Linked DNA regions of Rattus norvegicus. The protein of the gene in region 5 purifies or fractionates together with the protein of the main gene of each other region. This does not show direct contact. Links are inferred from orthologs where the notes say so. Each region holds a gene or a part of one and is shown on either strand. Other genes may lie near its edges. The genes, in order: Ep300, Jun, Hdac2, Usp22, Sirt1, Brinp1 and Ect2.

Region 1 (3,500 bases), on a different chromosome or scaffold from region 5:
AAACTCACAGAGATCTGCCTACCTCTGTAGGGACTAAAGGAATTCACATGCACCACAACCAACCAGCTGGCTTTCTGTTTTTAAAAAGCTTTCATTATATGGCAAAAATGAAAATGTCACTAATTTATCACAATGTATTTCCTTCTTTCTTTTAGAGAGGGGATCACTATCTACCCTTGGTTCACTATATACACAGCCCACTATGTAAAGCAGATTGGTTGGTCTCCTCAGAACTCCCAGAGATCTATATACTTCAGTTTCCTGAATGCTGGAATTAAACACATGAAATTACCATACCCAATTCTTTCTTTTTTGAGACAAAGTGTTCCTACTTAGCCCAAGATGGCCTGCAATTCCCTATATAGATGAGTCGGGCTTCAAATTCAAGAGATCTACCTGCTTTTGCCTATCCACTGCTAGTAAAGACATGTACAACCATATCCTACCCATGATAGATTCAGCTATTAAATGTTAGATTTATTACTTTACTTTATATGTAAAAGCATTCGACCTGCATACAGCACATGTGTGCACCATGTGTGCACCTGATGCCCACAGAGGCCAAAAAAGGGAAGTCAGTCAGATCACCTGGAATTAGAGCCAAGGATGGCTGTGAACAACCATGTGGGTGCTGGGAATCAAATCTGGGTCCTCTGCAAGAGCAACTGCTCTAAACTGCTGATCCATTTCTCCAGACCCCCACGACACGTGTGAACTCTGAGTCATCCTGCCTTAATTTCCAGAGTGAGATTTTAGGCAAGCACTACTTTGCTCATCTGTAAATCACCTAACACCTAGCCTTTCTATATTTGGAATTTTATGTATTAAAAAGAAACTTTAACGAATTAACATAACAATTACATGTTCTAAGACCGAACAAGACTTATCAAAAGAGAAGACAGAAGATAGTAGACTGGTACATTTCTATGTTCTAACTGACCTTGTAGTCATGGACAATGCGTTCTGACACAGCCTTGTCAAGCATCTTTTTGTACCATTCTTGCAGGCGCTTGGGCTTTGGTATCTTCTGATCGGGTGGATGGCAATGGAAGATATAGTCATCTCCTTCACTTGGTGGACAGGCCCAGATATGCCCTGTTGTGTATCTAAAAACACAAAGAGAAGGACATCAAGAAATAATTCGTGTTCGAGAAAGCTATAGTAACCTTCCTAGGGTTGTGGAGGATACAGGTGCAAATCCCTGCACACAGTACACCATGGACAAGGACAGAAATGCTCACTCTCAACAAGACCTGGAGCATCTGCTCTAATAGTTCTCACACTACCTACTTGTTTTGAAAGGCCATGGAGGAAGGTTGTGAATTTCATTTATAGAGGGGCTTGGTTCTTGATCCTAAATCCTCAAATCTGTTTTTTTTTTTTTTTTTTTTTTGGAGCTGGGGACCGAACCCAGGGCCTTGCGCTTCCTAGGTAAGCGCTCTACCACTGAGCTAAATCCCCAGCCCCCTCAAATCTGTATTTTAAGGTCAAAGAAGAGATGAAAGCCATCTAACAAATTAAGTGGAAGGTGGCAAGTACTCTCCAGGATGTATGGACTTGAATTTAAAGCTAGGGCTAGTTTCATATCTAAACTTATGAATGAACTTGTACCCTCTAGCCCAGGCCTCTTGTATGCTGGGACTCTAAGTGTATACCATCACATTCAGCCTGTTTTCATTATTTATACTCAATTATAAAAGGATCAAGGAAATATTTCTCATTTTCAAATGAATAATACTAATGGTTTCAACAAAACAGACCTAATGGATTAATTTATTAGTTAACACATGGTGATATCATCTTTATATCATAGAAGATCTAAGAAATTGAGGTCATGGCTTCACTATATCAAAACCAACATGAGAAAGCCAAAATATATACTTACACATTTTCTACAACATATCACTTTTTAATATGCTTACCCTAATTTCTTGACATACTCCAAATATCCAATTAGAATTTCATGATAGACTGCAGTCCGCAAGCATTTAGGACGGAAGAAATGAACACTATCGAGGTAAGATATGTATACTCTCCTATATTAAAAACAAAGAAAAATGTTTCATTACGTATCATTATTTACTTGGCTAAAGACATCACCATTCTTTCCTGTGTTCTTTTTACTTCTAACTATCATAGGGAAATCACAGGTGTGACTATGGGGACCTGGGTTGGCCTTGGCTTCCGTGTATGATTGACCTAATACATGCTATGCGCACCATCCTGTTTCTGCCCAATGTGCTTTTCTACTAGTTATAACATGAACCCAATCCCAAATGAGAGGTTGGTCACATAGAGTCCTACCTCTGGTTGGGAGGGGGACAGTCAGAGCCATATTCTTGAACATGCATGCCGAAGAAACACAAGTCAACACCATCAATTTCTTCAAAGGCAAACAGGGCCTTGGTTCGATATGGAAAAGATTCTGCCATCTCTCCACTATCTACAAACCTACATAATCCAGATTAAAAGGAAAACACAAATCATTGAAGGTTGAAATCAACAATAACCAGTGTGCACAGTTGTAGGTCTGTAAGAAGTGAATGGGAGATTACTAGACACCTTGCTTTCATGCCTGGTTTCACCTCCACAGTTTTGTCAGAAGCATGAACAACCCGAACAGTGACCTCTCCTGATTCAGGGTGATTTTGTCGCCTCAGAAAGTCATTCACTCGATTCTCCAGAAAGGTCCCAAGTCTGGTAGAAGGCAATCCTAGAAATATGAAAGTTACAAGTCACCAAGGTGTGGCCTTCTATACATTCCTAATGTCAAAGAGCAGGAGTGAAGTTACTGGGGCTGAAATTTCCTGTCAATACTGACAGGGTCAACCAACCTGATGTATTTGTTTTTTCAATATAGTAAGGTAACTGATATCTTATCTCTCAACACAAAGTATTAGGTAATGCTAGAAGGTGTTTGTAAATTAATTCTACCGTGATTCTAGTCAATCACTTTTACATGTGCCCCACATTATGATTATGTGCCAGAATAGGAAAAATATAGGGGAAAAATGCATTAAAAATTTCAGCAATTTTTTTCTTTTCTTTTTTTTTTTTCCGGAGCTGGGGACCAAACCCAGGGCCTTGCGCTCGCTAGGCAAGCGCTCTACCGCTGAGCTAAATCCCCAACCCCAAATTTCAGCAATTTTAATAGTTCAATATTCAGTATGCTACAGAATTATTTTAGCTAAATCTCTTTTTCTCTTTTGAAAGAGGGGCTCAACTATGTAGATGAGGCTGGCCTCAAACTCAGGTCCGCCTGCCTCCCGAGTACAGGGCTTAGAGGTGTGCACCACAACACTTGTTATAAACAGTTAAAATTCATTAATTTTGGCTAGTTTCATTTTCACTAAGATTCAGGATATATATATATATATAATATATAATTTTAAAGACAGGGCAGGCCAGCTGCAAACTCAGAAATCTGCCAGCATCTTCCTCCCAAGTGCTGGGATTTAAGGTGTGTGCCACCACCTCCCAGCTATTTATAATTTTTAAAG
Region 2 (3,944 bases), on a different chromosome or scaffold from region 5:
CACTGCACCATCTTCTGGTCAACAGTCTGGACTTGTGGGTTGCTGGGGAGAGAGAGAGTATGAGCCAATGATAGCATGCAGGGTGTCTATTCCTACAACCAGACGGGAGGGACTACAGGCTCTCACCCCAGCATACAGACACTCAGCTGTCATTTCACCTAGCTCTCATTATCTATCGATAATGCAGCAGAGAGGTTGGGGGCTACTTCTCAATGGTTTATTGTGTTTTCTTAAATATCCTTTCTGAAAATTTTCAGAAACAAAACATAAAAAAATTATATACTTTATTACAAATGGTAAACTCAGAATGCTTCAAATCTCTTATTTACAAACACTGGGTAGGACACCCAAACAAACAAACATGGAATAACTTACAAAGGCAGGAAGCTGTTTATTATAGACAGTAATCAGCTTTCATCAAATTAAAAAAAAATATATGTACATACATAGTTGAGAGAGGCAGGCCAGGGGAGTTCATCCGCAATCTAGCCTGGTACTCACAAGCCTCCCTCCCCTTCCCAGCCCTCCCTGCTTTGTGTTCTTACGGAGCACTACAGAAGCAATCTACAGTCTCTATTGCAGTTTGTAAGCCCCCACCCACCCCCCTTAATACTGAATGAGATCGAATGTTAGGTCCATGCAGTTCTTGGTCAATGTTAACGAAAAGTCCATCGTTCTGGTCGCGCGGGCACAGCCCGTTCGCAAAGCGTGGCGGCCAACAGGCCGCTGCTCTCTGGCTCCTCGCCAAAGCCAGGCGCGCCACGTCCTTCCCACTCCAGCACACTGGGGGCGCCGTCAGGTCGCAACCCAGTCCATCTTGTGTACCCTTGGCTTCAGTACTCGGACACTTTTTTTTCTCTGTCGCAACCAGTCAAGTTCTCAAGTTTATCTCTGTTATTTTTTTCTTCCACTGCCCCTCAGCCCTGACAGTCTGTCCTCAAAACGTTTGCAACTGCTGCGTTAGCATGAGTTGGCACCCACTGTTAACGTGGTTCATGACTTTCTGTTTAAGCTGTGCCACCTGTTCCCTGAGCATGTTGGCCGTGGACGCCAGCTCGGAGTTTTGCGCTTTCAAGGTTTTCACTTTTTCCTCTAGCCGGGCGATCCGCTCCAGCTTCCTTTTCCGGCACTTGGAGGCAGCGATGCGGTTCCTCATGCGCTTCCTCTCCGCCTTGATCCGCTCCTGAGACTCCATGTCGATGGGGGACAAGGGCGGCGTCTCTCCCGGCATCTCCGGCACCGTCTGCGGCTCTTCCTTCAGCGCCTGCAGCCGCGGGTGCTGCACCGGGATCTGTTGGGGCAAGTGGTGCGGCGGCTGAGGCGGCTGCTGCTGCTGCTGGGGCTGCGATGGAAAGGCCAGCCCGGTCGCGCCATAGGAGGGCGCCCCACCGCCGCTGCTCAGCGCACCCGGGTTGAAGTTGCTGAGGTTGGCGTAGACCGGAGGCTCACTGTGCAGGCTGGCGCTGTAGCCGCCGCCGCCGCCAGCGCCAGCTACTGAGGCCACAGCGGGAGCGACCATGCCCGCCCCACTGACAGGTTGTGCCGCGGAGGTGACACTGGGCAGCGTATTCTGGCTATGCAGTTCAGCTAGGGCGCGCACGAAGCCTTCGGCGAAGCCCTCCTGCTCGTCGGTCACGTTCTTGGGGCACAAGAACTGAGTGGGGGTCGGTGTAGTGGTGATGTGCCCATTGCTGGACTGGATGATCAGGCGCTCCAGCTCCGGCGACGCCAGCTTGAGCAGCCCGACGTCGGGCGACGTGAGAAGGTCCGAGTTCTTGGCTCGGAGGTGCGGCTTCAGATTGCCCACCGGGTCGGCCAGGTTCAAGGTCATGCTCTGCTTCAGAATCTTAGGGTTACTGTAGCCGTAGGCGCCACTCTCGGACTGGAGGAACGAGGCGTTGAGGGCATCGTCGTAGAAGGTCGTTTCCATCTTTGCAGTCATAGAACAGTCGGTCACTTCACGCGGGGTTAGCCTGGGCTGTGCGCAGAAGTTTCGGGGCCGCAACAGCGCGCCGGGAAGCGGGGGATACCCGCGCGTCCCCGCTTCAGTAACAAAGTTTGTTTAGGAGCGTGCGCTCCAGACCGCAGTGCTCCCCCCTGCGCCCTCCTCCCCAGTTCGCTCCAGGGAGCGCAGGGTTAAGACACCGCTTGCACTCACGTTGGTTGGCTCCCGCGCGATCCGGAGCTTTGAAAAGTCGCGGTCACTCACGGAGCGCTCTCGGGAAGCAGCGGTTCCTCGGAGCCCGCGGACCAGCCCCAGCGACAGAGGTTCTCCGGCGGCGCAGACCAGTCGTCACGGAATTCTTGGTGGAAGCCCGCGATCGGGCTCTGCCGCCCGGCCTCCGACAACTGTCCCCTCCTCCGCTGTGAGGGGGAGGGGGACGCTAGGCAGCCGCGGCTAGCACTCGCCCAACTTCAGCCGCCTGTGCGAGCTGGTATGAGTATAGGTTCCTCTTCTCCCTTTTCTTTACGGTCTCGGTGGCAGCCTTAGGCGCAGAAGAGGTTTTGCAAAAGTTCGCTCCGGGCCACTTGTTCCCGGTCCTCTGGGTCAGGAAAGTTGCTGGCCGGTAGCCGCTCGCCTATTTCCTCGCGCGGTCCGGAGCCGTTCTCGATGCTGTCAGCAGTGCCGGGACTTGTGAGCTTCTTCTCCGGGAAAAGCGGGAGAAGGGACTCTCCAAGTGCTCCCCAAAACACCGGTGCAGGAGCTGCGGGCGCTGGATCCAGGCAGTTGGTCAGAAAATGAAGACAAACAGATGAACAGCCCGGAGTCCGCGGACGACCAGGTTAGCCGAGTCCGTCCGTCTGTCTGTCTGCCTGAGCGCTCTCCAGCTAGGCAGTCTCTGCCACACTCAGTGCAACTCTGAGTCCTTATCCAGCCTGAGCTCAACACTTATCTGCTACCAGTCAATCCCTAAAAATAGCCCATGATGTCACCCCAAGGCCTTCCCATTGGCTTGCGTCGCTCTCAAGGGGGCGGGCCCACCCGTCGCCATGGAGACCTCACCCTAGAAGATTCTTCTCTGGGCCCGCGAAGGCTCACGGGATGAGGTAATGCTCCGCTGCGCTCCTACAGTTGGGCCCTTCTTTCTCCACCTCCCTCCCCCTCCCGCGCGTTGCTCCGGCTTGTGTTCCCGGGTTCCCTCCCCGGCGCGTCTTTCCCGGCCCGCCCGGTGCATTGTGGGCTGACGTCTTGGTTTGGCTGTCTAGTGACGGAGGCTGCCGGGTCCGCTGGACCCTTGCGGAGTCTGTCGGAGGCGGGCTCAAGTTCAGGGCTGGGGACCCAGACCGAGACGCGGGGATCCAGAAAGCTGGGGAGACGCGCTGGTGGCCTGGGGCGGAGGGCTTGGGTGGGAGTAGAGGTTACACACACACACACACACACACACACACACACACACACACACACACACACACACACGAACACACGAACACACCCGTGAAAGGGCTGAATGATCTGGGCGATTGAAGCTGGCTCCGCACCCCCGCACTTCCGGGAGACAGAGCGACGCGGGTTAATATGGTTGTGTTCGCCCCGGGTGCGGGAGCGGCAAGTGGGTTGAAGTTGAGCGGGTTTGAGAGTGGCCCTCCCACGCCGAGTGCGCATGGAAGTTTAGTTTCGGAGAAGGATCTGCGCCGCAGTGTGCTGTGCTGGAAACCAGAGATTTGCTGTGCTCGGAATGAATTCACCAGGGTCCCCGGCACAACACTTCATTTTCTGGGGACGTGCCGGGAGGGGTTCGCTTTACCTCGGAGGGACCCCCTTCTAGGTGTGAAAGATGCCACCCCGGCTCCTTGGGGTATGGAAAGCAACATATAAAGGTTCGAAACTCAGGAAACCCCAGCGCTCGCCTGCACTAGCACATACACACAGCCCCGCGCACACTCAGTTCGCGCCCGCCCTTCCTCCCTCCCTGATTTGCTTCTGGGAAAACAAGCCTTGAGAG
Region 3 (3,430 bases), about 17 Mb from region 5:
AGTTCCTCCCCTCAGAGCCGAAGACCGTGCTCTGCCAGTGAGCTGTGCCCGGTGTGTACTGTCAGGTGATAACTGACAGTTTCTAATGTACCTCTGTGACTGACTTCAGCCGCATTCTCTCAGGCCTCGTGAAGGAAGTGAGGCGGTCAGCTGCTGTCCACCTCACTTCTCAGTTATTTCTTCTTATGCTGTTATTATTTCTTAATTATTTCCATGCTTCCTCTTACAGGCCCTCTAGCCTTCATTTCATAAATCCCCCCCTTTTTGCCTGCTGTTGGGTGGTTGAACGCTGGTCTTGTCTGCTCTCTTTCCTTGTAGTCTGTAAGTTAACTTCTGTCCTTAGAAATGTCCAGTAACACTGTTTTAGTAGATGATGTCTGGTTGATAACATGAAGAAAACAGATAATTAGACACTGTAAACTCTCATTAGGTAATGGGGTTTTTTTTTCTCTTGTGCAATTTTAATTTTTTCCAAATATTTTAAGCTTTGTTATAAAAATGTTAGAAAAACAAAACAAGCAACAGAACCTCACACTGAAATTAACTGGACCCAAAGATTCAATGGCTTCTATGCTTGTGGCAGCCAGCATCTCAATACCAAGTGAAAGCCTGCTGCAAAGGGACTTTTTTATTTTAATTAAGGCTAAAATCCATGAAGAGAATGTGGGGGGGGGGTGGGGAATGGATGAATTTCTGCTGTCAGCATTGAGGGACTTTGTTTTTTGTTTTTTTTTTTTTTTTTTTTTTTTTTTTTTTTTTTTTTTTTTTTTTTTTTTGGTTCTTTTTTTCGGAGCTGGGGACCGAACCCAGGGCCTTGCGCTTCCTAGGTAAGCGCTCTACCACTGAGCTAAATCCCCAGCCCCTTTTTTTTTTTTAAGAATTATTTATTTATTTCATGTATGTGAATACACTGTAGCTGTCTTCAGACACACCAGAAGAGGGCATCAGATCTCACTACAGATGGTTGTGAGCCACCATGTGGTTGCTGGGAATTGAACTCAGAACCTCTGGGAGAGCAGTCAGTGCTCTAACCACTGAGCCATCTCTCCAGCCCCTGAGGGACTGTAATGATGGCATTGTGTGCCTGAATGATAATACCACCAGAAGTTACTGGTAACTCAAAACTTGTTCCTATGTGAGGTTTGTAATTAAGTAAATTAAGAAAATTATCCATAATACCAGCACCTAAAGATAGTCAGTGGTCAAACTTTTTGGTATTGCCTTCCGTAGTTAAGCTACACATGTCATATAGGAGAAACAAAATTTAGCATCTGTGTAGTGTCTTCTCTCCCTTACCCTTATGTGACCTCTCATGAGCATCCTGTGTTGCTAGTAAAATACATGTGTGTGTGTTTTAATACTTAACACGAGTTATTTGTTGGATACAGTCCCTGTCATCACCCCTGTCATTGTCTCCCCCATCCCCCACCTTGGGGTGAGGTGGCCTGCCCTGTAGTCATGCTGTATGGTCTAGCCTGGCCTCCAGATTCTGCGCCACTTACCTTACCTTAGCTTCCCAAGAGCTGGGACTGTTGGGATGGGCCACTCTGCCTGGCTGTCTACAGACCCTTTTTTTTGGTTGAGTAAAATTGTTTGTAATTATCCTTTTTAAGGTCCTATTTTAAATTGCTAAAGAATATATTTCAATGTTACCCAAATCTTCTTCGTCGTAGGTCACGCTAAATGTGTAGAAGTAGTGAAAACTTTTAACTTGCCGTTGCTGATGCTTGGCGGAGGTGGCTACACAATCCGGAATGTTGCTCGATGTTGGACGTATGAGACTGCAGTTGCCCTTGATTGTGAAATTCCCAATGGTAGGTGTTCAGGTTGCAGTATCTAGAAGAACATGCAGTGTGTGGAAATGGATGAATGGGAGGGTCTGCAGCCACACCCCTGGAATGTATGATCTCCTCTGACGGCTGAATGGTTAGAGTGCGAATCTGTGAGAACATTCCATGCTCACTCTCAAGCTTCCTTTGGGAATAGTTCTTTTACCTGGATTATGATTCTGAGTTTATTTGGAAACTAAGCTTTCAATGTGTAACTTGCTTTTCATTGTTTTTAATAGAGTTGCCATATAATGATTACTTCGAGTATTTTGGACCAGACTTCAAACTGCATATTAGTCCCTCAAACATGACAAACCAGAACACTCCAGAATATATGGAAAAGATAAAGTAAGAAATCATTTCGCCTTAATGAAGTTTCAGGAGGCTATAGAAGGTCAAATAAAGGAAACTTTTAGATACATGAGATATTCTCTTTGTTTTAATATGATTTGAAACCTTAAGGATATTTGTGGTTTTAATCTAAAATAATAACACAAATATGTAACCTTTGTAAATAGAAACTTTTTTTTTAAGATTATTTATTTATTATATATAAGTACACTGTATCTGTCTTCAGACACACCAGAAGAGGGCATCAGATCTCTTTACAGATGGTTGTGAGCCACCATGTGGTTGCTGGGAATTGAACTCAGGACCTCAGGAAGAGCAGTCAGTGCTCTTAGCCACTGAGCCATCTCTCCAGCCCAATAGAAACATTTTTATTAGATCAAGTGCTTTCTGTCTACAGAATGTAGAAATGGTGAGCGGAATGGGCTGTGTCTTCTCGCCCGTAGACAGTTGTAGGACATGGACAAGTGCTCTTGTTGCCTCATCCGTCAGATGGGGTGAAGTGAAGCATAGCTGTGTGCTGTGGGGTCAGCCGTGTGTGCAGTGATCGATGCTCCACTAGTGTCCCATTCCGCGGTTAGCTAAATGGGAACTTGTTTTTGTTTAGTTCCTCCTCTGTCTAACAGGAACTTTGCATACAGTGGATTTTGTCTAATAAATTGTGTCGTTTAGACAGCGTTTATTTGAAAATCTGCGAATGTTACCACATGCGCCTGGTGTTCAAATGCAAGCTATTCCAGAAGATGCTGTTCATGAAGACAGTGGTGATGAGGATGGAGAAGACCCTGACAAGAGAATTTCTAGTAAGAAACTCCTTCACAGCACATGTTGTGATTCTCCTTTTCTCCATTTAATAACGTGAGATTTAGCTTCCTGATGTCTCAAAGCCTGAATTAATATCACCCTTCATTTTGTGTGACTACACAAACATGGCTGCATCCAGAAAGTAGGCACTTGATATCTATCAATATCTATCTACCTTATGTAATGATTGTAGAACCTCTGGCTATTACCAAATTAATAAAAATGTTTGTGTCCCAGTTCGAGCATCAGACAAGCGGATAGCTTGTGATGAAGAGTTCTCAGATTCTGAGGATGAAGGTGAAGGAGGTCGTAGGAATGTCGCTGATCATAAGAAGGGAGCCAAAAAAGCCAGGATTGAGGAAGACAAGAAGGAGGCGGAGGACAAGAGGACAGGTCCGTCTGTGCTGGTGACGCTCCTTTTCACTGCTTACGGGTGCACTGTATCTTTA
Region 4 (3,500 bases), on a different chromosome or scaffold from region 5:
GTCCACATCCACTCAGCAGAGGCAGGAACACCAATACTCTATGAAGAGTCATTCCAGAAGAGATCTCTCCTGACAGGGTAAGGTATTTCTTTGGCTGACCTTCAACTGGCAGAAGATCTGCCTGCCTCTGCCACTGGGTGCGGGACTGTAGGTGTGTACACCAGCGCACTGACTCTGGGATCTTTCCTCTTGTACAGATCCCCACCTGTAATCCCAGCACTCACTCGGGGCTGAGACAAGAGGACTACCGCTTTAGGCCAGTATTAGCTACGCAGTGAGACCTTGCTTCCAAATACCCCAAACCAACCGACACTAACAAACACACTGTGGAGGACTCCCTGGAAGCAACCCTGCAGTTTTCCTTACTGGAAACAGAACCTGACTATACTGACTACACGAGACAATCAGGCACACTCCCACAGTTGCCTGGGTGCGCACCAGCCTTGCTCTGCACCATTGCTATGGGAACCCCCGCTTGCCTCAGCCTAGCAGGGAGATGGTAGCAGGCCCACCTTTGCAGTGCCGGTGGAGGACGTCCAGGGCTGCAATGAGGAACTCATGGGCGTCCTGCTGCTCATAACCTGCCAGGTGCCGGGCGTGCGTCCACACCAGGTGCAGCAGCTTGTACGGAATGTGTGGGGAGCGGTGCCCCGAGTAAAACTGTTTAAAGAGAAGGAAAGGGACAATAGGACACCTGCCAGTCTTCATCATACAAAACATCACAGCTGCAGACTGGGTAGGACTAGTTTGATCAAATGGACTTGCTTTCTGTTTGCAAACTGGATTGTTATGTGGACCCACTTTCCTCCACTTTATTTCCACTGATAAGCCCACACAACAAATAGCAAACTCAAGTGACTCACTCTACAATGTGTGCCTCACAAAACCCTGCCCACCCTCCTGGGTGGTGTCTGGCTGCAATGGGGCCACTGAACATGAGCAAACTGCAGCTGGCCTTATATCTTGCACATGCTCAGGGAGCCAAGAGAAGTCTACTGCTGAGACACTAGACCCAGAGGCTCACTTCCACATCATGCTTCCTGCAGTGGAGAGCCCAGAGAGCCCTGCCTGGTTAGACACATATGACCAGTGAGCAGCTCAGGTTTCCCCTTCTGAGCCACTGTTGTGTTTGAGCCTATTCCTCACACAGCTGCTGACATTTACTTATTTACCTGAGTTTTATCAAGTGGCATTCTAGCTAGATATCATATGACTGGGCGAGAAGAATTGAATGTCTCAGAGTTTGGAATACTTGCCAGGACATTACTGAACCCAGCAGTCTGAAAATGCTTGTGTGCTCAGAAGTTGTAGGTCTCAGACTATTCGGAGTTCAGATTTCGGGGCAAGGACGCAGAGCCTGTGCCAGCATCTCTTCCTCAAGGCCATCCTGCTGCTTTTTATCATTGGTCTATGTGTACAATAAGCCCTACACTCAAGGAATGGGGCATTCCTGATTCCTCACCCAACTGATGTTGCTGCTTTGTAAATGGCTGCCAGTACCAATCTGTCACCAATGCAAACAGCTATCAAGTGAGCGAGTCTCCTGAGCCTGCAAGCCCTTTTGCATCCCGAAAAAACCAAAGCTAACTCCTGGGCCATTTTGCAATGAGGGACTCAAACTCAGGGCCTCAGGTATACCAAGCAATAGGTCTACTGCCGAGCTTCATCCAAAGGCTGTCTGTAGACTGAGAATTATAAGTTCATTCTTAAAAGGATCATACATCTCTTCTAAGGAAAGTGATCAACGGCACAGTAATGCCAAGAGCCAACCAGACACCCATTTATACCAGAATGCATTTCCTAAGTTCATCATCATTATAACCAGGGCTTCTTTTGCCTGAGAAGCCACTTCATGGAAACCCACAGTACAAAATTAAGTACATTTAAGGCCATTTTAGAAATGGGGAAATTCCGTTTTAATCCTAAGCCTTTAAAAACAAAACCAAAAAACTCTGAAACTCAGTTCATCAATTCAAACAGCAATTTTTCAAAACAAAGATTCAACACCACAATCTAGAGATATATGAAGACATAGTTACATGTTGAGAAATGGCAGGAAAATACTCAATGCCTTTGTTTTCTGAAATGGCTTCGTTGCATTTTGGTAAAAGCAGAAGACTGCATGGACAGTAAACCACAGAACAGTCTTAGTCACTGAGGCGTCTCAGGCAGTCTTACGGGCACTGACACAGGGAGCAAAGTGGATGTGTTGTGTGTTAAATCAGGCTGAGGTGAGGCCATACAACGCAATCCTGGAAGTGCTGCTGGGATGGTCACCCCAGAGTCAGCGCCTACCTGGACCCGCAGCTGTGACGGTTAGGCTTTCACGGTTTGTTTGGTTTGGTGACCTCTACAGTTCCTGTCAGGACCCATAAAACTGGATATTGTGTTTTCATGTATTAGAAATAGAAACCCAGAGAAACTCAATAGACAGTCTGAAGGTAACTTAGGAAGTATATACTGACCAGGGAAGGTGTGGAAGGAATTCTCTGTTTGTGGCATTGAATTGGTAACCACAGTGTTGGAATGTGTAACATTTTGGGCTTTGTTTATCAGATGGAAGGTGTTTAACTTCTACTAGTAATGAACAGCTAGAGACTAGAGCGAGCAGCAGATCCACACGGCACTAAAGCCACGACGTACTTGCTGCAGTAGACTAACACTGCACACTGAAAACCAAGGACAGCAGCTTAACCAAGGTGCTGGAGAGAAACACTTTCCACAAAACCCTGTATACTGAAACATTTACATCTGTAACAGTAAAAACTGGAAACCACAGCAGTGTCGGACCCAGGCCCCCACTAACTGCACTATGACCACTCCGCAAAAGAAATGTTCTTTGGCAAGAGAGAGAGCCCACATGGACCTTGATGTGCCACACCAAGGAGACACAGGCAAACCTAGTAGAAGGGTGGAATATTGCATATACACAACACTTGGGAAATGTGCTACACAGCCATCCATGTCACATGCATGGGAATGGGAATTCTGGGGACAAAAACCTGTGTCGCCTATGAAGGTGGAGGTGCCTCACATTTGTCAACTCACAGAACTATATACTAGGATGTTTCACTGGATACAAATTATACTTTACTAAGCCTGAGTTTAAAAAAATAAATCAAGAGAGACGCATTTGTCACATTGTAACTGGCTGTTTACCCCAGTGAAGTCCAGGACTCATTTTGTTCAGCTGAGTCATCTCAGTTGCAAAGCCACTGTGTAACTGTCCACTGCTCAACCCTGGGCTGTGACATAAAGCAGCCCAGACAACCTGTGAGCAAAAATGCCTGGATGCAGAGTGGTAAAAGACCCCTGAAAGAGATGAGGCCTGTCTGCTGGCTTCTGTGCAGGGAAGGGGCCACTCTATTTCTAGGATGGGAAAAGAAGTTATTTCAGTTCTAACACCTGGCCTGAGTCTACTTAGACAGTAGGTCCTGATATCAAACCTGAGCAGGTTCCGCCCCTGAGCGAGGGGACAGGCATCGACAGGCACAAGTATG
Region 5 (3,500 bases):
AGTCCCCCTAACCTTTAAAATACTTAAAACATCTAAGCTTAGTCAAAATACCTAGACAGTCCAGGTAGTGGTGGCATGCACCTTTTTAATCTCTGCACTCAGGAAGCAGAGGCAGGAGAATCTCTTGAATTCTAGGCCAGCCCGATCTACAGAGCAAGTTCCAGGACAGCCAGGGCTATGCAGAGAAACCCTGTCTCAAACCAAACCAACTAACCAAGCAAAAAAACCCTTATACCTAAGCACTTCCTCCCCAAACTCTGGATTAGTCAGATTAGTTAGGGATATGACAGGAAATATCTTTAAATTATATTCTTTGCATATAAATGTATCGATTGCTACCTCATTGGTTGAAAATATAGAGCACTTCCATTAGAAGGGGATGACGGGACTCTTTCTTCCCTTAATATAGGTCCATATACTTTTGTTCAGCAACACCTCATGATTGGCACCGATCCTCGAACAATTCTTAAAGATTTATTACCAGAAACAATTCCTCCACCTGAGTTGGATGATATGACACTGTGGCAGATTGTTATTAATATCCTTTCAGAACCACCAAAGCGGAAAAAAAGAAAAGATATTAATACAATTGAAGATGCTGTGAAGTTACTACAAGAGTGCAAAAAGATAATAGTTCTGACTGGAGCTGGGGTAAGTAAGACACATGAAAACAGTAAAGAGAAAAAGCTAGTATATATTTTATTCCTTTTCCAGTTAATTTTTTTGTTTGCTTTGCTTTTGATGTAGTAGTCTTTGTTCATAAAAACTGAGGACAGCAGCATTTGCTAAACTAGTTCAGTGTTTTGAAAAGTTTAACAACTTTAAATCTTTGTATATTTATAGTACAATTGGTAAGTGGAATTACGGGGTTTTTTGTTTGTTTTAAGATCATGTGTGAGAGAGAGAAGGGGGAGAAAGGAGGAGGAGAAAGAGGAGAAACACACACACACACAGAGATTAATTGATTGATTGATTTTTGCCTATATGCATACATGTGCATGGTATGCCTGGTACCCCACAGAGGCCACAAATGAGTATTGGGTTTCCAGGAATGTGGGCCACCATGTGGGTGCTGGCAAACGTGAGTTCTCTTTAAGGAGCAGCAAGTTCTCTTTCATGGCTAGGCTCTCTCTCTAGCTCCTGGACTTGTTTGGTTTTAATTTTATGTGTATGGGTGTTTTATCTGCATGTATGCTTCTCTGCCATTGTGTGAAGTGCTTAAGGAGTCCAGAAGGCATCAGATCTCCTGAAACTGTAGTGATAGATGTTTGTGAGCCTCCAAGTCCTCTGCAAGAGCATCAAGCCACCTTTTCAACCCCTAGAGCTCTTACACACTGAATCCTGGCTCCTCAAGATGACTTAGAAAAATCAGATCCTTTTGAAGTCTGTCATAGCAAGAGTCTAGTGGAGACAGTTTTCATGGAGAAAGTAGAAACTTAATATTAGGGAGTAAGTAACATTTTTACCTTTTTCTTCATTTTAACTTTGTAAGATTGTAGAGACTTGACCTTTTTCATTTGACTTGGTCTAAAACCAAGTCGTATTCTGTGTTATATAGTATGTTAGACATTGTTAGCAGCCAGAGCAGTTTGAGCAAAGTGAAAAGTATTAAATGATGATCAAGAATCTCAGTTGTGGGGCTGGAGAGATGGCTCAGCGGTTAAGAGCACCCGACTACTCTTCCAGAGGTCCTGAGTTCAATTCCCAGCAACCACATGGTGGCTCACAACCATCTCTAAAGAGATCCGATGCCCTCTTCTGGTGTGTCTGAAGACAGCTAACAGTGTACTCATATATAATAAATGAACAAAAAAAAAAAGAATCTCAGTTGTGGGAGGCAGAGGCAGGTGGGCGTGCCTGAAGCAGGTCAGTGTGCACAGCTTCTTAGCCCCAAGTAGGGTTAGTTTGGCCTACAGGTGTGATTCAGACAAGGAGACAAGGGTTGGCTTTTTTTTTTTTTAGGGAAAAATTTGTTTTATGTTTGGGTATGTGTTGTAGTTTGTGTGCTGTGGCACCTGTGGGAGTCCGTACATCCTGAGTTGGGAGTTGCTTGTTTCCTTCCTCTGTCAGTCTTGACTTCGGACTTGGTCAGAAGCACCTTAACTGACTGCTGAGCTATTCTGTATGTAGGCTTCCAGTGTTATTCTTGAAACAGGGGCTTACTCAGGTCTGGCCTGGAACTTGGCAGAGATCCTCCCAGCTATGGGATTATTCCAGGTATGTACTACCATGCCTGGCTGGCTGGCTGGCTGGCTGGCTTTCTTTCTTTTTTTCTTTCTTTCTCTATAGCCTTGGATGATTTCAAACTTTCTTCTCTTTCTGAAGAATTGGGATTAGAGTTGTATTCCAGAGACATTTTTTTCTTTTACTCCAAGTTGAATGAATCCTGTAAATCTGGAATGAAATAAAGCTTGTCAATTCCCCTACTGGGAGTGTTAAGATTTATCTGAAGAAAAAGGATTATATCTAAAAGTTTTGTAGTTTTTATTTATTTAGAGACAGTATCACACTATGTAGCTCTGGCTAGCCTAGAACTTCCTTTGTAGACCAGGCTGACCTCAAACTTGTAGAGATATAGTCCTACTCTGCCTCCCAAATGCAAAGATTAAAGGCCAGTGTCATCATACCTGTTTATTAAAATTTATTAAGATTTGTGTACCCATGTGTAGTAACACATGCTTTTAATTCCAGCACTCAGGAGGCAGAGACAGGTGAATCTGAAAGTTGAAGTCCAGCCTGGTCTACAGAGCAAGTTCCCAGACAACCAGGGCCACACAGAGAAACCTTATCTTGAAAAACCCCCAATTTCTTTTTTAGTTTGTTTGCTGGTATGTGTGTGATGTGTATATGTGTGTATGCACATGTACGCACACACATGAGGATGTCAAGAGGACAACTTGCAAGCATTCTTACGTGTGGTTCCAGGCATCAAACAGGTGGTAGCATGGTAGCCTTTAGCTACCAAGACATCTCACTGTCTCATTGTTGTAATTTATTGTTTTCGCTGCTGGAGTTGTGAACCCAGGACTTAACCATGTGTCAGGCACAGACACTGTACAACTGACTTTATCCTTAGCCCTTTTTACATTACTTAGGGTGGCTACCTGAACTTAAGTGATCATGCCTCAGCTGTCTTAGCTCTGACTATAGACTTGTGCCACTGTTCTGGGTTTTAATCATTACAATTTATAATTAAAAATACATTCCTAGTTGGATACGGTAATGCATTTCCTTTAATCCCAGCCTAGCATTTGACTCTCAGGACCTTACTGTGCTGACGAACTTCAGCATTAGGATGTAGAGACAGGCAGATCCTTGAAGCCTAATGGCTACCCAGCCTATCTCAGATAATGAGAAGCTAGGTGTCCTATGCTTGGGGAGGCAGAGGCAGGGGTAGGGGTGTGTGTGTGTGTGTACAGTGAGATCCTGTCAAAAGACAAAAAACAACCCATAAATAAGTAAATAAATGATACATTTTTGGGCTGGAACGATGGCTCAGA
Region 6 (3,500 bases), on a different chromosome or scaffold from region 5:
AATTGATTGCACAACTGGCAGATGTCTGGCCTGTGCCTGGGAATGTGTGTCTCAGAATAAGCAGACAGGACATTAAAGATGACCAAATACACAGACTGGATCCATAATGTCCACTGTCTACCACCACTTCTCACTTCACAGTATCACGCTAGGTGTTGAATGGATGAATGAATGAATGAATGAATGAATACATTGAACCACAAATATGGAATTCTCAAGCCTAGACTTCAAAATCAGAAAAAATAAAAACCACTATCATTAATTTGCCATATGACATAAGGAAGTCACTTAACTCCTCTAAGTGTAACCAAGCTCAAGCTATCAATGGGGGACACATGTGAAAACTTCAAGTGCCTGGCACAGGGAGTCTTCAGAAATGACCGCTGGTTACAAAATGCCCCTATAAATGGCAGTGAGTACACAGGTACCATTATCAGGCAAAAACAGTACAATTGTCTCCAGTTTTAAAAGAAGGTTCAGCAATAACTCCAATGAGTGCCACTACAGGATTAATGAATAAATAAATCTAGAATCTATCTATCGTGTCTTTGTAACTTTGTCTTCCAAGATTCAAGATGGCGACACAAAGGAACCTCTGTATGGAATGAAAATAGCCATGAAATTAAAATGGTTTTATATATAATGGTCCCTTCCCTTACTCCCCATTCTTTTGAGCTGAAGTGTGTGTTCAACTGTAAAAGCACAGCCTCCACTGAAGGGAAAGCCAACTTGTGGGAAGATACAGAGCATCTTATACATGTAGGCTGGTATCTTGTCCTTCCTCAGTCTCTAGCTTCCATTTTCTGTAAATTTAGCAGTGCTTTTATGTAAAGAAATAAAGTGATTATAGTTTTCAGGTTATTATTATTAATATTGCATCATCATCAACATGGTGTCATCATCATCAATGTGCATATTTACCTCTCCATATGGTCATATTATGTAATTGGAAGCATGCATCTCACACAATACATATATTGACCAGAGGGCAACTTTGTGGAGTTTGTTCTCTTCCTTCAACCTTTATTTGAATAGGAGGCGATCAAACTCAGGTAATCAGGTATATGCAGTACGCACCTTTACCAGCTGCCCAATGTTTGTTTCTTTCTTTCTTTCAAATAATTCCTTCTGTTTATGCTGAATAATAGTATGCTTCTCATTGAGTAAGACTTAACATTACTAACTTATTTTACTATAGTTACTTTATCTGGGTCATAGGCTGGCTTTCTTCAAATCTAGCAGTGAGGCATGTTCAAGTGTTGTGAGTCCTGAGATAGCTTCAAGCAAACAGGAAAACAAAAACAAAAACCAAAAAAAAAACTTCCCAGAGCCAAATTGCACATAGAAGCCAGCGTTAGTGTAAAACTGGCTCATTGAGAGGCCTCTGTGCAATTTGTTTGAGAAATCCCTCCTAAAGAGGCAGGCTGCACATTCCAGGATGCACAGAAGAGGATTATCTCCTGACAGGGCTTCAATATGTCAATTCTATACCTCATCTGGGGGTAGAGAACTACTTGGCAATAATGAAAACCAATCCTTTGCCGCTACCAGACTCTCATGGCTTCATAAAGATCTGTCTCTAGTGCCAAACTCTTTAATAACATAATACCCCCAATATAGAGGATTCTTCCTGGATAAGCTAGTCCTTTGTTTGTTGAACTGATTCATTCCTCTCCTTGCTACCCTCCTCCCCAGTCAGGTTCTCCTCCGCTCACAGGTTTTTCTACTAATGATCAATTTCTGATTTAAGCTGCCTGAGTCCAACTTGACCTTCCCCCTCTGTCTCTTCTCTCTAGTGATGTCTTAGAGATTTTTAATATGAGACAAGATGTACATTTTACTCAGAAGTTAGAGCAAAGACGGAGATGGAAAATGTAGCCATAATCAAGTTTAAGAAAATTTAGGACAGAGAAAAATATCCTCTGACGAATTAATTCCTTATTTCAAGAAGAATGTCCTCCCGCACTTTCTTTGTAGAGGTCATCTCTAAACTCCCTGTACTGGAAATGGAATCTTAAATTTCCTGTACTGAAAGCCACTGACTTGATAGTCCAGAGCTAATATAGTCAACGTGTCTCCTTGACTTTGAATTAGTTAGAATCGAATCGACTTACAAAGGTATTTCCTCTGTAGACATAGTCAAGTGTTCGCTAATCACATGTGACTAAACCCACTTCCTGGCCAGTAAAGATAGAGGTATTTCCAGTATCTCGGAAGGTTCTGTGGGCAGTGTTAGTGCAAATGAACAGTGATCCGTGAGCAGGATGGCTGAGTATTCATTCACAAGTGAGTAGTTGTCCATAAAATCATCTATTTAACATACACGGACAGCACTATAGTTAATTCAACAATGGTCATAGCAAAATATATTTATAAGTCACTAGATAAGGCCATCCTAATGAAGACACTCGTTTTCTAAGAGATTTGGTAAGATCGATATGAGTGGTGGGTGAAGCAAAGTATGTTTGCTATCTGCTTTCAGATTGTCTCTATCGTGGTTCTGTTTTCTTGAGAATCTAAGTACACCCTAAGGCTGTACCTTGATTGCTCCAGTTGAAATCTGGATCTCATGGAGCCTTCTCATGGTGCCATCACGGTCGACAAAGTAGGATGATGCAAGCTGGTGCAAAGCTTCAACACTTTGGGTAGCATTTCCTGACTTCCGGTCGAGGCGACTTTTGTCCATGTACATGGTCAAAGCCTCCTCTCCTGCAGGGGAAAGAACAGAAGATGAGAAAGGTTATTCCAATTTCAGTGTGGGATGAGGGATTCCGGAGTTGGGATGCTGAAGACAGACATATACTCCAACCAAGCAGTCTGAATATCCCTGTACCCATAAAATCAAGGGCACAGTGCAGAAGATGTAATCCAGAGTTGTTATAGATCCCATTAAAGCAATGACCATCAAATAATGAACAGCAATCACAGTTCATTTCCAAATAAACCTGTTCATGTATTTCAAGGGCCTTGTCTTACCTAATGAAATTCTCTAGTTCTAAGAACGTTTATGATTGATTTGGCATAGATACCTTTTCTTTGTATTTTTCCTTCTGTTTCAATACAACTTAATTCTTCCTTTTCATTTTTGCTACCATTTCCTTATCATTTCTTCATATCCATCCTTTTTTTATTCTCAGTGTACTCATTTATTGATAGACCAATCCAGGTAATAGATATGTAGAGTAATAATAGACAGATACAGGAAAGGGAGTGAATAGACAGGTAAATTCTTAGGTGGTTGTATGGAGAGAGAAGGAATGAGATAGAGAGATAGAGACTTTTTAGATGATTGATGAATGGAGCAGTGAAATTAAGTTATAAATAAAATCTATCTTACAGATATAAATATGACTATATGAACTTATAGATTTTCTTTCATGAATTTTCCTAGAAATTCATATATAGATTCCTAATACTACCAAGGTATTATGGTATTGGATGTGCTAGTAATCTATTTCAATGTAAGATTGTGAAAAACTCTAGATGTTTTCAGCAAGTAG
Region 7 (4,259 bases), on a different chromosome or scaffold from region 5:
AAAAAAGGAAAAAGCCAGGGCTGGAGAGATGGCTCAGTGGTTAAGAGCACTGACTGTCCTTCCAGAGGTCCTGAGTTCAAATCCCAGCACCCACATGATGGCTCACAACCATCTGTAATGAGATCTGATGCCCTCTTCTGGTGGGTTTGAAGACAGCTACAATGTATTATAAATAAACACATCTTTAAAAAAAAATTTTTTTTTAAAAAAAGGAAAAAGCTAAACATGGTAGTAAACATCATCTAAGAAGGCCTTAAGGCAAGAGGATTACTGTGAATTAGAGGCCAGTCTGTGTTACAGAATAAGAGAGTGAGTCCAGTACGGTACACACCTTTTACCCCAAAACTCAGAATAAGACCCTGGTTCAAAAAGGGGGATAGGGGAATCATGGGCTATCTGACTGCTGCTGCCTTTGAGAACCTTTCCTCTAGTTGTCTAGTCTTGCTACAACTTGATTTGGTCAGTTGATATCCATGGGAGGCCTCCGCTTTTCAGAAGAGAAAGGGAGGAGTGGATAGGGTGGGAGAAGGCCTGGGAGAAGAGGAAGGAGGGATATTGTGGTTGAGATGTAAATTAATTTTAAAAGTTAATTAAGGGCTGGAGAGACGCTCAGCAGTTAAGAGCACTGACTGCACTTCCAGAGGTCCTCAGTACAATTCCCAACAACCACATGGTGGCTCACAACCATCTGTAATGGAATCCAATGACCTCTTCTGGTGTGTCTGAAAACAGCTACAGTGTACTTATATATAATAAGTAAATAAATCTTTTTTAAAAAGTTAAGTAATTAATTTTACAAGAGGCTGGTGAGGAGAAGGAAAAAGGGAGAAAGGGTGAGCTGCTCAGCTTTAAGGACTGGAGGGGAATTTGATTTGATTGACCCATGTTCCTTTGAGACAGGATCTCGAAATCCTTGCTGGCCTGATTTCATTCTGCACTCCAAGCTGCTAGGAAACTCATGGTCAATCCTCCTGTGCCAACACTCCTGAGAATTGGGATTAAATGTTCACAAAGCCAAGATAGGATCAGAGATTTTAACAAATCAAAAGGACCACAGGAGCTGGAGGAGTCACATGAAACTTCGTCTCAAAAAAGCCAAAAATAATTAATGAAATGGTCAGTAGAACACTGCTTAATCTAGACTAAAACGTCACCTAAGAAACTCCAATTCCTAACTTAAAGGTTAGTAGAAAGGACTTTGAACATCTCCAGTAAAAGGATAAATGCTTACAGTGATATGGGCATGACCTTGACCTAAGCATTACAGGGGTATAAATGTACTAAAATAGACTAGGGCTGGAGGTGGAGTTTAGTGGTAAAGCCTGGAAAGATTCAGAGTTCAATCTCCCAGACCGCCCCCCACCAAAAAAAAGTCAAAATAAGAGTCTATACTTATGTGTAAACTACGTGCCAGAGCTTTACAATGCACTTTCAACAATACTTCAGCTTACATGACCCTCTTTAAAATTGCCAGTTGACTGATAATGTGTTGCCTAGTGGCACAAGCCTAAAGTTCCAGCACCCACACAACAGGCAGGAGTACACAACTAAACCCTTTCTCACTATGCACCAAAACAGTGAAAATGCATATTATTATCTATTTTCAAAATATACAGCAAAAGAGCTACAGGGCACACTAATGATACATCTAGCACCCAACATCACTGCAAACTGAAATGCACCAGTTTCTTCCTTTTCACACATTCTAGAGGCTTTTTAAAAATAAACACAACAATCTGATCATAAAAAGAACACATCTTTGTCTTGGAATGTGCCTCAGCGTAGCATGCATGAGGTCATCCTCGGGCACCTCAAAACCAAGCAAGGTGAAAGTACATCGGGGAGGAGGTAGAGGCAGGTGGAGTTTTATGTCACCATTGGCTCCACAATTCAAGCCTATTCTGGAATACCTAAGACCCTGTCTCACAACACATGGATTCTTTTAAATAAAGTCATTTTTAGCTTTTCTTTTAAATAAACTTTTTTTCCATAAAAAAGTCATCCAGAGTAAAGAGACAAAACTACAATAGTTTTGAATACGTTGATAATGGTGTTAATTAGCGATTTCATTTACTTAAAGCTCACTATTTTACAGCCACTATCTTAAATCTCCCCCTTACCATTATTTAACCTTTGCAGCCATCCTAAAAGACAAATATCATTGCCATATCCAGTTTGTGGCTAAGAAAGTTGTTCACACAGAGACTCCAAGCCGGGTCTAACTCTGAGGGCGCTAAGTTAACCACTAACCACACACATCTGTGGCCAGGAAGGGGCGGAGCGGCCTGTGTTTTATATTTTAAAAAAATCGAAAATCGGAATTCTGCAGGAATTCCAGAGGGAAACCACAAAACAATCAGGGCAGCTCTGGGCTGCAGCGAGCGGGCGGAAGGGCAAGCAGGAAGCCAAAATCGCTGTCCCAACTGCGCCCTTCACCCTGGGGCGCCTGACAGAAGCAGAATAGAACCCAGATTCCCGCAAGGAAAAACCGGGGCCAGAACAGACGACAGGAAAGGAGGCGGATGTGAGGGAAGAGGATGAAAGGGAGCGGTACAGACAGGTACGCAGCCGTGGGGGCTCACCGCGGCGGGGACGCCGGCCTTGGTCCCCACGGCCGGTGCAGTTCCGGGCACTCGAATCCCTTCCCGTCCCCCACTCACCCCGCAGTCCTCACCACGTTCAGATATTTTAAAAAAAAGAAAAATGAACCACTGCGGCGCAGTCCTCGCTTAACCTTCTCAAACACTGAGTCTCCTCACTGGGGCCGCCATGGCTCGAAGGAGGCTACCGCCTCCGATTCAAAAAACCCAGACGCTCTCTCTCAGAGCCATGCTGATTGGCGCGCTTTGTCAACCTCCTTTTGATAGGCTGGAGTCTCTGGCGGACTGCTTATTGGTCAATCTCAACGACCGCCTCCAGGAGGCGCCGGCTGATTGGCTATGCGTGTGTTTCAAATAAGCTAAACGGCTGGAGCGTGTGGACGTCAGCGAAATGCCCGGATGTGGGCGAGAGGGGGGCGTGGCCTCGGAGCGCCTCTAGACGTAGCAGGTGTTTCTGTGGTGACCGCTTGTTTACTCAGTAAACAGCCAGTTTCCCGAGGCTCAGTCTCTACCATCACCTCCAACTTCAAGAAAAGTAACAAGCACCGCAAACCATTCGGCTCTTACCACTTCCCAGATTTTATATTTGGAGACAAGCTTGCATCTAAGTAACTAAAAAAAAAAAAGTGTAAGGAGATTTTAGAATCCCCTGATGCAAAATTGCTTCTGGGTGGCTTGCTCCTTCTCCCCAGGCCCCACCTCCAATCCCCAGCATAAGAATGTTAGTGACCTTTGAAGTCTAGAAAAGAAATGATCAGGTTTTTTTTTTCGATATTTCTATTCTGAAAATTGTTTCTAGATGTAATGTTCTATAATACAATCTCTTAAACATACACTTCTAGCTGGGTGTGGTTTCAAATCCTGTGACCCCACTTACTAAGGAGGATGGCGCTGGAAGTGGAGAACAAGATCTGCCTGGTCTGCACAGGAGACCCTGTCTCAAAACAGTTATTTTTTTACTTTCAAAACCGAACCCTACCAAGTGGTTGGATCTGTTGCTACGCCCCAAACCTCAATAAGAGGTTTTAAAACCACCTTTTAAATTTAGATTTATTAATTATATGTGTCTGTATTATTTTCCCTGGATGTGTGTGTGTGTGTGCATCTTGTGAGTGCTTGGAGGTAAGGAGGAGGCCAGATCCATTCCCAGGGACTGAAATTAGAGGATTATGAACCACCATGTGGATGCTGGGAATTAAACCCAGGTCCTCTGTGAGAGTAAGAAGTGCTTTTAACCACTGAGCCAACCCACCAGCCCAAGATCTACTTTAAAAACAAAAAGAACTTCTTGACAACCTTAGGAGCTTGACAAGTGTATGGCGAGTTCATAGAATGAGTAAAACAGTCTACAGTCTTTGTCTGGTTGGTTGTTTTTGTTTTGTTTTGTTTTCTGCTTAACATTATCTATGGCCTGACAGTCTCTAGAATTAGCCATTAGAGCGGAAGAAAGAGGGAAAAAAATCAGCCTTGAAATTGCCAACGGGAGTGTGTTTGCAGTTTAAGCTTGGGTGTGTCTGGCATTCCAAACATTCTCCTCACTAAAGTACTTTAAGCTGACGGCCTCAGTGCTGTTTCCTTTGTGCACCGCCCGAGGAGAACAAGCTTCCCAATCTGTTGGATGAGAATGTGGGGTCTGAGTGCAGGAACTGAGATCATCAG

The links.
Region 1: the proteins of Sirt1 (region 5) and Ep300 purify together in Homo sapiens (affinity purification with western blotting; 3 studies listed by BioGRID and IntAct, with this or other methods). This does not show direct contact. The link is inferred for Rattus norvegicus from reciprocal best matches to the Homo sapiens genes SIRT1 and EP300.
Region 2: the proteins of Sirt1 (region 5) and Jun purify together in Homo sapiens (affinity purification with mass spectrometry; 4 studies listed by BioGRID and IntAct, with this or other methods). This does not show direct contact. The link is inferred for Rattus norvegicus from reciprocal best matches to the Homo sapiens genes SIRT1 and JUN.
Region 3: the proteins of Sirt1 (region 5) and Hdac2 purify together in Homo sapiens (affinity purification with mass spectrometry; 3 studies listed by BioGRID and IntAct, with this or other methods). This does not show direct contact. The link is inferred for Rattus norvegicus from reciprocal best matches to the Homo sapiens genes SIRT1 and HDAC2.
Region 4: the proteins of Sirt1 (region 5) and Usp22 purify together in Homo sapiens (affinity purification with western blotting; 10 studies listed by BioGRID and IntAct, with this or other methods). This does not show direct contact. The link is inferred for Rattus norvegicus from reciprocal best matches to the Homo sapiens genes SIRT1 and USP22.
Region 6: the proteins of Sirt1 (region 5) and Brinp1 purify together in Homo sapiens (affinity purification with western blotting; 6 studies listed by BioGRID and IntAct, with this or other methods). This does not show direct contact. The link is inferred for Rattus norvegicus from reciprocal best matches to the Homo sapiens genes SIRT1 and BRINP1.
Region 7: the proteins of Sirt1 (region 5) and Ect2 purify together in Homo sapiens (affinity purification with mass spectrometry; 3 studies listed by BioGRID). This does not show direct contact. The link is inferred for Rattus norvegicus from reciprocal best matches to the Homo sapiens genes SIRT1 and ECT2.

What each region holds. Positions count from the first base shown.
Region 1 is NC_086025.1:115,046,857-115,050,356, reverse strand, and holds part of Ep300 (histone acetyltransferase p300), read right to left. Parts: intron 2,714-3,500; coding exon 2,563-2,713; intron 2,452-2,562; coding exon 2,305-2,451; intron 2,037-2,304; coding exon 1,923-2,036; intron 1,107-1,922; coding exon 941-1,106; intron 1-940. UniProt on the Homo sapiens protein: Functions as a histone acetyltransferase and regulates transcription via chromatin remodeling. Acetylates all four core histones in nucleosomes. Histone acetylation gives an epigenetic tag for transcriptional activation.
Region 2 is NC_086023.1:115,010,194-115,014,137, forward strand, and holds the start of Jun (transcription factor Jun), read right to left. Parts: upstream 2,801-3,944; 5' UTR 1,943-2,800; coding exon 938-1,942; 3' UTR 1-937. UniProt on the Homo sapiens protein: Transcription factor that recognizes and binds to the AP-1 consensus motif 5'-TGA[GC]TCA-3'.
Region 3 is NC_086038.1:42,120,127-42,123,556, forward strand, and holds part of Hdac2 (histone deacetylase 2), read left to right. Parts: intron 1-1,673; coding exon 1,674-1,814; intron 1,815-2,068; coding exon 2,069-2,177; intron 2,178-2,849; coding exon 2,850-2,980; intron 2,981-3,218; coding exon 3,219-3,374; coding exon of another isoform or gene 3,375-3,430. UniProt on the Homo sapiens protein: Histone deacetylase that catalyzes the deacetylation of lysine residues on the N-terminal part of the core histones (H2A, H2B, H3 and H4).
Region 4 is NC_086028.1:46,337,940-46,341,439, forward strand, and holds part of Usp22 (ubiquitin carboxyl-terminal hydrolase 22), read right to left. Parts: intron 661-3,500; coding exon 513-660; intron 1-512. UniProt on the Homo sapiens protein: Deubiquitinase that plays a role in several cellular processes including transcriptional regulation, cell cycle progression or innate immunity.
Region 5 is NC_086038.1:25,308,953-25,312,452, forward strand, and holds part of Sirt1 (NAD-dependent protein deacetylase sirtuin-1), read left to right. Parts: intron 1-409; coding exon 410-651; intron 652-3,500. UniProt on the Homo sapiens protein: NAD-dependent protein deacetylase that links transcriptional regulation directly to intracellular energetics and participates in the coordination of several separated cellular functions such as cell cycle, response to DNA damage, metabolism, apoptosis and autophagy.
Region 6 is NC_086023.1:87,433,081-87,436,580, forward strand, and holds part of Brinp1 (BMP/retinoic acid-inducible neural-specific protein 1), read right to left. Parts: intron 2,710-3,500; coding exon 2,540-2,709; intron 1-2,539. UniProt on the Homo sapiens protein: Plays a role in neurogenesis and brain development. May suppress cell cycle progression in postmitotic neurons by inhibiting G1/S transition.
Region 7 is NC_086020.1:111,963,827-111,968,085, forward strand, and holds the start of Ect2 (protein ECT2), read right to left. Parts: upstream 2,801-4,259; 5' UTR 2,675-2,800; exon of another isoform or gene 2,583-2,674; intron 2,542-2,582; exon of another isoform or gene 2,121-2,541; intron 1-2,120. UniProt on the Homo sapiens protein: Guanine nucleotide exchange factor (GEF) that catalyzes the exchange of GDP for GTP. Promotes guanine nucleotide exchange on the Rho family members of small GTPases, like RHOA, RHOC, RAC1 and CDC42.